Coturnix japonica: one gene and its partner. The protein of the gene in region 1 purifies or fractionates together with the protein of each later gene. This does not show direct contact. Links are inferred from orthologs where the notes say so. Each region holds a gene or a part of one and is shown in the gene's direction. Other genes may lie near its edges.

Region 1 (4,253 bases):
TGGAGTGTGAACACTGCCTGTATCCAATACTGTCTGTTAACAACATATATGAGGCAAAGGGTGTTTGTCCTTTGCCCAAAACGTTTATCCATTTTGGTGCTGCAAGAGCCCAGTCTCCATAAAATAGTAAGAGAAGTACTTAAGTCTGTCTTAGGCTTTAGTATCACATACCCTTCTCTAGGCTGCTTTGCTGCCTTCAGCAGCTCTTGTCCTGCCTCTCTGGCCACTGCTGGAACCCTTAAGCCAGCACTACATGCCATTTTATGTTTTAGTCTAGAATATGCTCTGTTTCAGCACTGTCCCATAACTCACAGTGAGTTGGAATGGAAATGGTGACAAAGGGTCTTAACTGGGGGCTGGAGGGGGAAGGTAGTGGGGAAGGGATGGCAGGAGGCCCTCAGCACCCCCAGACATAGGGCTGGGCACCCCACTGCCCACGGCCCTGACCAGCACCAGGAGCGATGCTACGTGTGTCCTCAGCAGGGCTGCTGAAATGCTGTGTAACCTTCAGCAGTGTTTGTGTGTGTCTTTGTAGGTGTGAGCATTAGGTTAATGCCGTAATTCCTTCACGTGAATTCGATTTATCGAGTCGTATCTTTTTCACGGGTGTGTGTTTTTCACAGATGCACATTTTCTGCTCTTACCTTAGTGAAGCACTGAGCCAACAATGACACAGGCCTAAAATAAGAAGCACGCGTGGGTCCCGTGGCTTGCAGGCAGCGAGACCAGACCTCGGCATTACCTGAGAGGGCCGGGACCGGAGCTCTGCCGAGCGCCGCAGCCCACACACAGCCCGGCACCACCGAGACCATTTGCCCACACGCGACCACGGCCCGAGCGGTGCTCGGACAACAAAATGGCTGTGGCCGCGCAGCCGGAGGCGGCCGGGGGAGGGCGGCCCCGTGCCCCGCTCCGGGCCGCCGCGGGGCCGCGATGCCGAGAGGCGTCCCGGGGACTTACTGCGGGGCGCCGGGCCGGCGGCTGCCTCCCTTGGCGCTGCTCCGCCACGGCCTCGCTCCTCTCCGCACCGCGCGCTGCTCCGTGCCGGGCGGGGGGCGTTGTGCCGGGCGTTGTGCCGGGCTGCAGGCCGGGGAACGGGGAACGGCGGCGTCGCGGGGCGCGGCGCGCAGGCGCGGGGGGCGCGGGCATGCGCGCTGTGCGGCGGGGAGCCCGATCTGATAGGGAGCAGGGGCTGACACTACCCCCGTGTGGGCGGCGGAACGTCCCGAGGATGACGTGCGGCGTTCTCGAATCCCGTGTCTCGCTCGCTCGCTCGCCGCCGCCGCCGCCGAAGGAAACGGGAAAAGCAACAAGGAGGCAGGAGCAGGCGCGGCGCCATGGCGGCCCTGGAGCGGCCCGTGCCCAGTCCCGAGGCGTTCCTGGGCCAGCCCTGGGCCGCCTGGGTGCGGGAGGCCGCCCCCCCGCACGCGCACGGCGCCGCCCCCCCGCACAGTAAGGGCAGGGACCGGCCCGCGGCTCGGCTCGGCGCAACGCTCCCATCCCCGCAGCGCACGCACGGCCCGGGGCACGGCCGACCCACACCCCGCGCTGCCCCCCACGGGCCGGGCCGGGCCGCGCCGCGGGAGGTGCCGCCCCCCCCCGGGCGCTCAGCTGACGCGCCGGGCCCCGGTGCCGTGTGTGCGGGAGGAAGGAGCGGGCCCGGCCCCGCAGAGCGGGCTGCGCCGCTGGGCCGGAGCCGCGGTGGGGGAAGGGGGCGAGGGGGAGGATGCGCGGAGCGGAGCGGCTGCGGGAAGGGGAAGGAAGCGGAGGGAAGGGGGGGCCCCAGAGCGCCGAGCCGCGCACCTCCTCACCTCTCCTCTGCGCCGAACAATGCGTGCACACCTCGGGCCTCGGCTCCTGACTGTGCCTCTCCTCCTGTGCAGGTGCAGATCTGGAAGAGACTGGAAAGGAGGGTGCGAAAAGCAGGGAGGTGATGAGGCTCAATAAAGAAGGTGAGCGCGGGGCCAGAGCATCGCCCTACCTGTCGGTGGTGGCTGGCCGTGGCAGGCGGCCCCGCAGTGCCCGGTGTCGGGCAGGTGGATGTGGCGGTGTTGGTGTGATGTGAGGTGTGGGCACAGAGGTGTGTGCGAGTGGCAGGTGTGTAAGGGAACAGGGTCATCCTAAGGCAACAGGGGGGACAGGGTCATCCTAAGGCAACAGGGGGGACAGGGTCATCCTAAGGCAATGGATGGCTCTGTTGGGGCCATGTTGGATTTTTGCTGAGGACTCTGTCCCTTCTCAATGTAATGCTTCGCGTGCTTCTATGTGAAGATGAGCAGATCAAGCCCTGTGTCATGGCAGATAACTCTTATGTCGTATTTTAATATACACTTACATTCTCAAAGAGCATTTGGTTTGCCGAAGCAGTCCCTTATGATCGTTGCGTTCTCTTTAGGCCAAGTTGCATTTTATTCTTTAATTCTTGTTGCTGGACGTGACTTGCAGTCAACTGAATAGCCAACATCTGACGTTGCTTTACAGTAGGCTAAGTGATGTGTATTGTGTAAAACCCAATGCAATAGGTCGCTTGGGTCAGAGGGTTCTCTGGTCCCATAAGTATGGACAGGCAAATTCCACACTGATGATGCCTGCCCATAGGCCATGCTTGGCTTAGTTCAGTCAGCTGCTGGAGGAAGAACTGGGCAGCACAGGTAAATCACTCTGACACATCTTGTTGGTGATGTGCACTGTTGAAATTGCGCTGGAGGAACATCTAGTGCAACTGGTGGGATGGTTTGGGACGTGCTCTTGTGTGGTGTTCTGCTCACTCTGTTCTGTTAAGGAAGCGCTACGTGCTTGCAGGCATCATGATAAATACTTGTGAAATTGGTTCCTAACAAGTGATTGTGTGACTTCTGTGTGATTTCCTGGTGCTGAGAGAAATCCCACCGTCACCTGTCATACCAGAATAGATATTCTGAAATGGTTCAAAGGTTCTTGGTACTGTATTGTTGCCTTTACACGCGTATTTAAGTTTGAGCACCTCAACAGCTTAAATGAATATTATGTTCTATAAACAGACTCTTGAAAATGAATGAATTAATTAGTGAAGTAAATCTGTGTGATAGAATCACATGGAATATGCATTAAATAACGATAAATTAAGAATAACGTAGAACCCCCACTTTGACAGGCATTGATGGAGGTACCAGGCTTGATTGTGTTTGTCTTGATTCTTACCTGCTAGAACTCCACTATTTTGCTTGGCTTTGTACCTAGAAGTCCTAGAGTACAAATTCTTGTTGTGGTGTTATTTGAGAGGTAAAGATCGAAGAGCATCACTGCTCCTTAGTCATACCCATATGCAAATCATTTCTTAGAACAGTTCGGTGTACGGGGTGAGCTGTAGTCCTTTATTGGTTTTTGGGGAGTTCACGGGCTCCATTAAGAGAGATCTAGTTGAACTTGCTCTCCAGAAAAATTATTTCAAACGTGTAATGTCATCACTGATAGTGACAGGTGTGAACTACTTATTGCTTCTATGGGGCTTGCATTGCAGAATGGTTTAAAACAAACAAAAAAGCTGACAAAATACTGTTGCGTTTAGCAAATAAAAAGCTGTAGGAATTGTTTTGTTTCCTTGTAGCAACTTGCTTTGGATCACTTAGAACTTTCATAAAGTTCCAATAAATGAGTATGTGTTGAAATACTTCTCCCATGTTCACCTGAACGCTCTGTTAACACAGGTGCTTCCACCACACCCACCCGTGTGTCTGAACACCCACTGTAGATCCTGCTTGAGCCCTGCTGTCCTTAGCAATAAAGGTGCGGAAAAATGTGAAGAGTTAGATCGTTTCCCAAAAAGCATTGCTGGCATATTTGTGGAATCACTCGTGCACTTACTGGGGTCTTGCACACGATGTTCTGTGTGATGTTGACATTTTTTGTTGGGTTTGTTAGTAGACATGGGCTGTGGTCCTGGTAGGTCTTAATGTCAAACTCAAATCATTTCTGCTTTGCAATCTCACAGGTTCGAGTAGGCAGTCGATGCTGTTTGCAGTGCCAGGAGATTGTGAGTGATGCCTTGCAAAAATCAGACTTTGTGTGTAAGGTAACAGGTGGACAGGAATTCAAGAATTAATAGTACTGGTCCTGTTCAATAAGGCAATGTAAAATCTGGTCTCGTCATGCTTCTTTTAACGTTCGTCTGAGTTTTGTCAGCTTTTGTTTATATGACCACATTTATGTGGCCTTCCCTTTATAAATTACTGGAACTGTTTGTAGGGAGGATGATGTGGGAAGGGGAAGACAGT
Region 2 (4,508 bases), on another chromosome or scaffold:
CCAACACTGCATTGCTGCCAGGGTTGTGTAAGAAGCTGCTCCGTTCCCATCTCCTCCTCTTGCCTCACTCCACTCTTATGCAACCCCACAGCATGTGGAGCACACCAGAGCCGAGCACGGATTCGAGCATTTAGCACTATATTCTCACTGCCTTGTAGGGCTATTGATAGGGAACGCCACATTAAGGCTCTTTCTGGTGCTGGGGTTCTTTTTTAAGGGTGTTTTCGTTCCTTCTCAGTGCTCCCAATGGGAGCACAACACAGCGCGGCCTGCTGCACCACAGCGCTGCCCACCTCGAGCCGCCTCATCTCAGTGCAGGCCGCTGCGGCCTCACAACCCTCAGCCGGGGCTGAGGTTCCCGTGTCGGGCCTCTACCAGGCCGGGGGGGCGGCTCTGCCCCGGCTGCGACCCGGCCACCCCGCCGCCCCTCAGGAAATCACTGAGGTAAGAGCGAAGCGGCCGCGATCAGCGGATGTGACACCACCGCTGCCCCCATAGCCTAGGCCGCTGGGTGGAACCGCCCCTCAGCCCACCGCAGCCAATCCGCTCACAGCTTGGAGTGAGATTGACGGCCGGGATGGCCAATTGTTGCGAGGCATTCTTAGCGAACGTGCCGCCCTTTCTCTCTATTGGCCGGATGCCCCGTCAATCCGATAAGTCGTTCCCGCCCCTTTCCGGCAGGGGGAAATACTGGGGAGGAAGGGTGGAGGGAGAAGGGGGGAGGGGAGAAAAGAAAATCAACCAATGAGACGCCAAAGACGGGCGCTTCGGCAGCAGAGTGACAGGCGAGCGAACCAATGGCAGCGCTTCTTTCCTCCCTCTCCGTCTCCCTCCTCGCGGGTGGCGGGGCAGTGGGGGGGGTGCACCTACCGCCCCTTCCCCGTTGGTCTGTCCCACTCCGGGCCGGGCTGAGTGAGCGGCTCGGAGCAGCGCACAGCGCGGGCGGAGGGGGGGAGTGCGGGGAGAGCGGAGGAGGAGGAAGGAGACGGCGAAGGAGGCGGGGGGGGGAGGTTTAAAGAGACGAGGAGACCGAGGCGGGGCCGGCCGGCTGCGGAGAGGGAGCGGCGGCGGGCGGAGACTCGCCCTTCCCCACACACACACACGCTCCGCTCGCACCGGAGCCGCCGCTGCCGCTTCCAGGCCCACCCCCCCCCCCCGCTCTTCTTTCCCTTCCGCCTTCTATGAAGGTAGAAGGGAGCGTCGGCCACTCCGGGGGCGGCAGCGGCCGCTCTCTCAGCCGCCTCCTCCTCCTCCTCCTTCGCCTCAGAGCGAGCCCCATCTTTGTGTGCGAGGCAGGGAAAGAGAGAGGGAGGGGAGCGCGCCGCCCGCCGCCTCCAGCGCCGCGCTTTGTTCGGAGCCGGGGGCTCTATGTGCCCGCCGCCCCCCGGCTGCCCGCGGGGACGGAGGCGGCGGGAGGCGGCGTGAGGAGGGGCCGCAGCCCCTGAGGGCGGTGGCGGCGGGGAGGGAGGGTGGGGTGGCTGTGGTGGCTGTGGGGGGCGCGCGGCCGCCCCGTGTCGTGCCCGCGCCCGTGCCCGCGCGGCCGCCGCCGCCGCCGCCGCCGCCGAGGGGGGGAAGGGGCCGGCTCGCTGCCCGCCGGCCCGGCCCGTCGGCGGGAGGATTGATGTGGGGGGGTCTGACATGAGTCCGCCGGCGGCCGGGTGCTGCCATGTGACCGGCTTCAAGGTGGAGAACTGGAAGCAGAACCTGAGGGCCATTTACCAGTGCTTCGTGTGGAGCGGTTCGGCCGAGACCAGGAAGCGCAAGGTACCGGGGGCGGCCCCATCCACCCCCCTGCTCTCCCTTCCCCTCCTCTCGTCGGGCCCGCGGTTCCCGGCACGCGGTCGTGGTGGTGGTGGGGGTGGGTGGGAGGTGGGATGTTGGCTGCGGGTGCCCCCGCGGTGCGGGCACGGCGCTGGGGCTCAGAGCCGCCACCTGCCCCGCTCCGCCTTGCCCCCTTTCTCCGTCCCCGGGGCCGTTCCGCAGCGCCGCCGCCCCCCGGAGGTGCGGAGCCCTGTTCCCGGAACGCGGCGGAGGCTGCGGGGAGGGGAGGAGGGGGAGGGGAGAGCCCCGGGGCGATGGGCACGGCCCGACCCGCGGCGGGGCTTTGTGCCGCAGGGAGGGGTGGGGGAAGGAGGCACAATGGCTGGGAGAGGCTGGGGGGAGTTGACGAGGGCATTTCTGCTGTTTATTTATATATATATATATATGTGTGTGTGTATATATATTTTTTTTCCTTTGAAGATCGGTGGTCATCCGGTTGCAAAATGGGATTCCGGGTAGAGTGGGGGGTTGGGGGGAGAGCAGGAACTGAGTGCGGAGGGCACGGAGGGGGATAGAAGGAGCGAGCTGGGGGGTGCGAGCGTTCGGGGCACGCAGTGCGCAGCGCAGCACCGGAATCCGCTGCGATGAGGACAGACGTGACCGTCCCACCTGTGTGCGGCAATCCACACAATGCTGAGGAGCCCGAGCAGAGCCTCCCGCTGCCCTCCGTGCCATCAACTAGTTTGTACTAATAAGTGACTTTGCAGATTTCTATCGGTGGTGATGGTAATGGCCGAGGAGGGGACTGCAACAAACAGTGCGGCTGAACTGCGGGCTGGGACGGCCTGTTGGGCTGTGGGTAACTCTGGAGCTGTAGGTGTGTGCTGCAGGGCTGAGCGGCCCCTCTGTGTGAGCTTTGTGTTCTCTGGGAGTCCCCTGTTTTATTTCAAGGGAGGAAAAAATGGAATCCGAAGGAAAATGATCAAGTTAGTGGCTTGCTTGAGAGCGCTGCAATGTACAGCCAAAGTTGTGTTCTGCATCCCTAACGCACTGCAAGACAGTGTTATGGAGTATGTTAGGCAGAATTGGGTTTCATTTAACCTTTGGTATGTCAACATACGGATGGGTTTATGGTACAGCATACGTGGGGCTTAACATACGTGTGCTGCTGAAGGAGTGGGGTAAGAAGGTGTCTCAGAGGAATATTGCTTGTGTTACATGGCAGAAGGAAACCCAGAATTCATCAGTAAGATGAACACTTCAGCTTCCATTATTTTGAATGAGGAGCATCCCTTACAGCCATGGGCTGCTGTTGGTTGGGTTTCTTCTGGAATCTATCACTAGTGATGCATGTATTTATTGCCAGCTGTTTTTTAAGCCATAGTAATTGCTTGCTGTAATCAATCTGTGCTCCCACCTTTACCTCTTTGTAACCCGTGACACTCTTAGGACAGGCAGGCTCATAAGGCAGAACGGGGTGGTTGCGAAATCATCTCATCGAAAACATCCTTTTACCAGATACGTGCTAAAAATGCCTTTTGTTTTTAAGCAGATTTCCAGTCTGGAAATAGTTGGATTCTGAGTTCTACCAACCTGAGATGTGTGGGAGTAAATCATCACATACAGGGAAGTGTTTTGGGTACCTGCATTTGGTGGTGAATTCTTATATTCATAAAGGTAGAAGGAAGTATGGGAACAGTTATGGTGCTTACCTGCTGTACATGGATGTGAATCCTTCCCCTGCAGGATTTTTCCTTGCTGTCCATGTGTATCCTATATTTACATCTCAAACTTCATAGCAGCGTTTTCTGTTTTCGGATACATAGTGGGATAACTAAAAGGCAACCCGTTGTCCTTTATATAAGATGATATATCGTCTTTTATATATATATACTGTGTGTATGTATATATAAGGAGCACAGCCCTGACGTGGTGATGGACCAGTTAATTCATGGTGAGAATTCTCATTCTTAGCTCTAATCAAAGCAATGAGGTCAAATAAAGGTTTGATAGAAGGTGATTCGCAATTTCTGTTCCAAAAACCAGGGGCGGTTGCATCCTTCATTTGGCACAGCAAACATTCACAAGATGTAGCTGATCATTAATGGAAGCATTGATGAATTTAACTGTTATTCAGATGAACCTAGCTGTAAAACAACAAGCAAACCCAAACGTTTGGGCTGTTGGTGCTTGGGAGCCAGATGTTAAATTGTTGGGTCTCTGGGTTGCTAATGTTCTATCCCTCCTAGGGCTGCCTTATAAATCCAGATAGCAGTAGGAACTGCAGGGGGCAGAAAGTGTCTGCTGCTCCTCTTTTACTTATACTGCTTTACTGCATTATGCTTTAGAAGACCATTTTGACACTGCTTGCTGCTTGCTATTTGTTTTTAATGCGTACCTTTGCTGAGAATAAGCCTTGATGAGCTGTAGCCTTCATTACAGCGTTCTTCACATCCAGAGTTCTTAATAAAATAGCTGCAAAGCGCTGTTTGTAGTCGGAAAGCCATTTCCTGTACCTGTATTTGAATTCCCAATCAGAAGGAAGAGGTAATTATGAGCGTACATTTGTTAATGCTGGAATTCTGGTGAAGGGTTCAGGAGTGTGTTTGCTTCCATGGGATTTCAGCTCTCCTACTGGTGTGTTGTTCTGCCTCCATCCAGGGGCTGAGCTGTAGCTTTGTGCCTGTACGTGCTGTTATAGGCAGAGCTTTGCTGTAGTGCGAATGTGCTGCTGCTGGTAAAGCCTA

Evidence for each region.
Region 2: the proteins of ATXN7L1 (region 1) and USP22 purify together in Homo sapiens (affinity purification with mass spectrometry; 3 studies listed by BioGRID and IntAct, with this or other methods). This does not show direct contact. The link is inferred for Coturnix japonica from reciprocal best matches to the Homo sapiens genes ATXN7L1 and USP22.

What each region holds. Positions count from the first base shown.
Region 1 is NC_029516.1:12,700,662-12,704,914, reverse strand, and holds the start of ATXN7L1 (ataxin-7-like protein 1), read left to right. Parts: upstream 1-1,163; 5' UTR 1,164-1,337; coding exon 1,338-1,452; intron 1,453-1,883; coding exon 1,884-1,952; intron 1,953-4,253.
Region 2 is NC_029529.1:4,593,274-4,597,781, forward strand, and holds the start of USP22 (ubiquitin carboxyl-terminal hydrolase 22), read left to right. Parts: upstream 1-1,557; 5' UTR 1,558-1,638; coding exon 1,639-1,764; intron 1,765-4,508. UniProt on the Homo sapiens protein: Deubiquitinase that plays a role in several cellular processes including transcriptional regulation, cell cycle progression or innate immunity.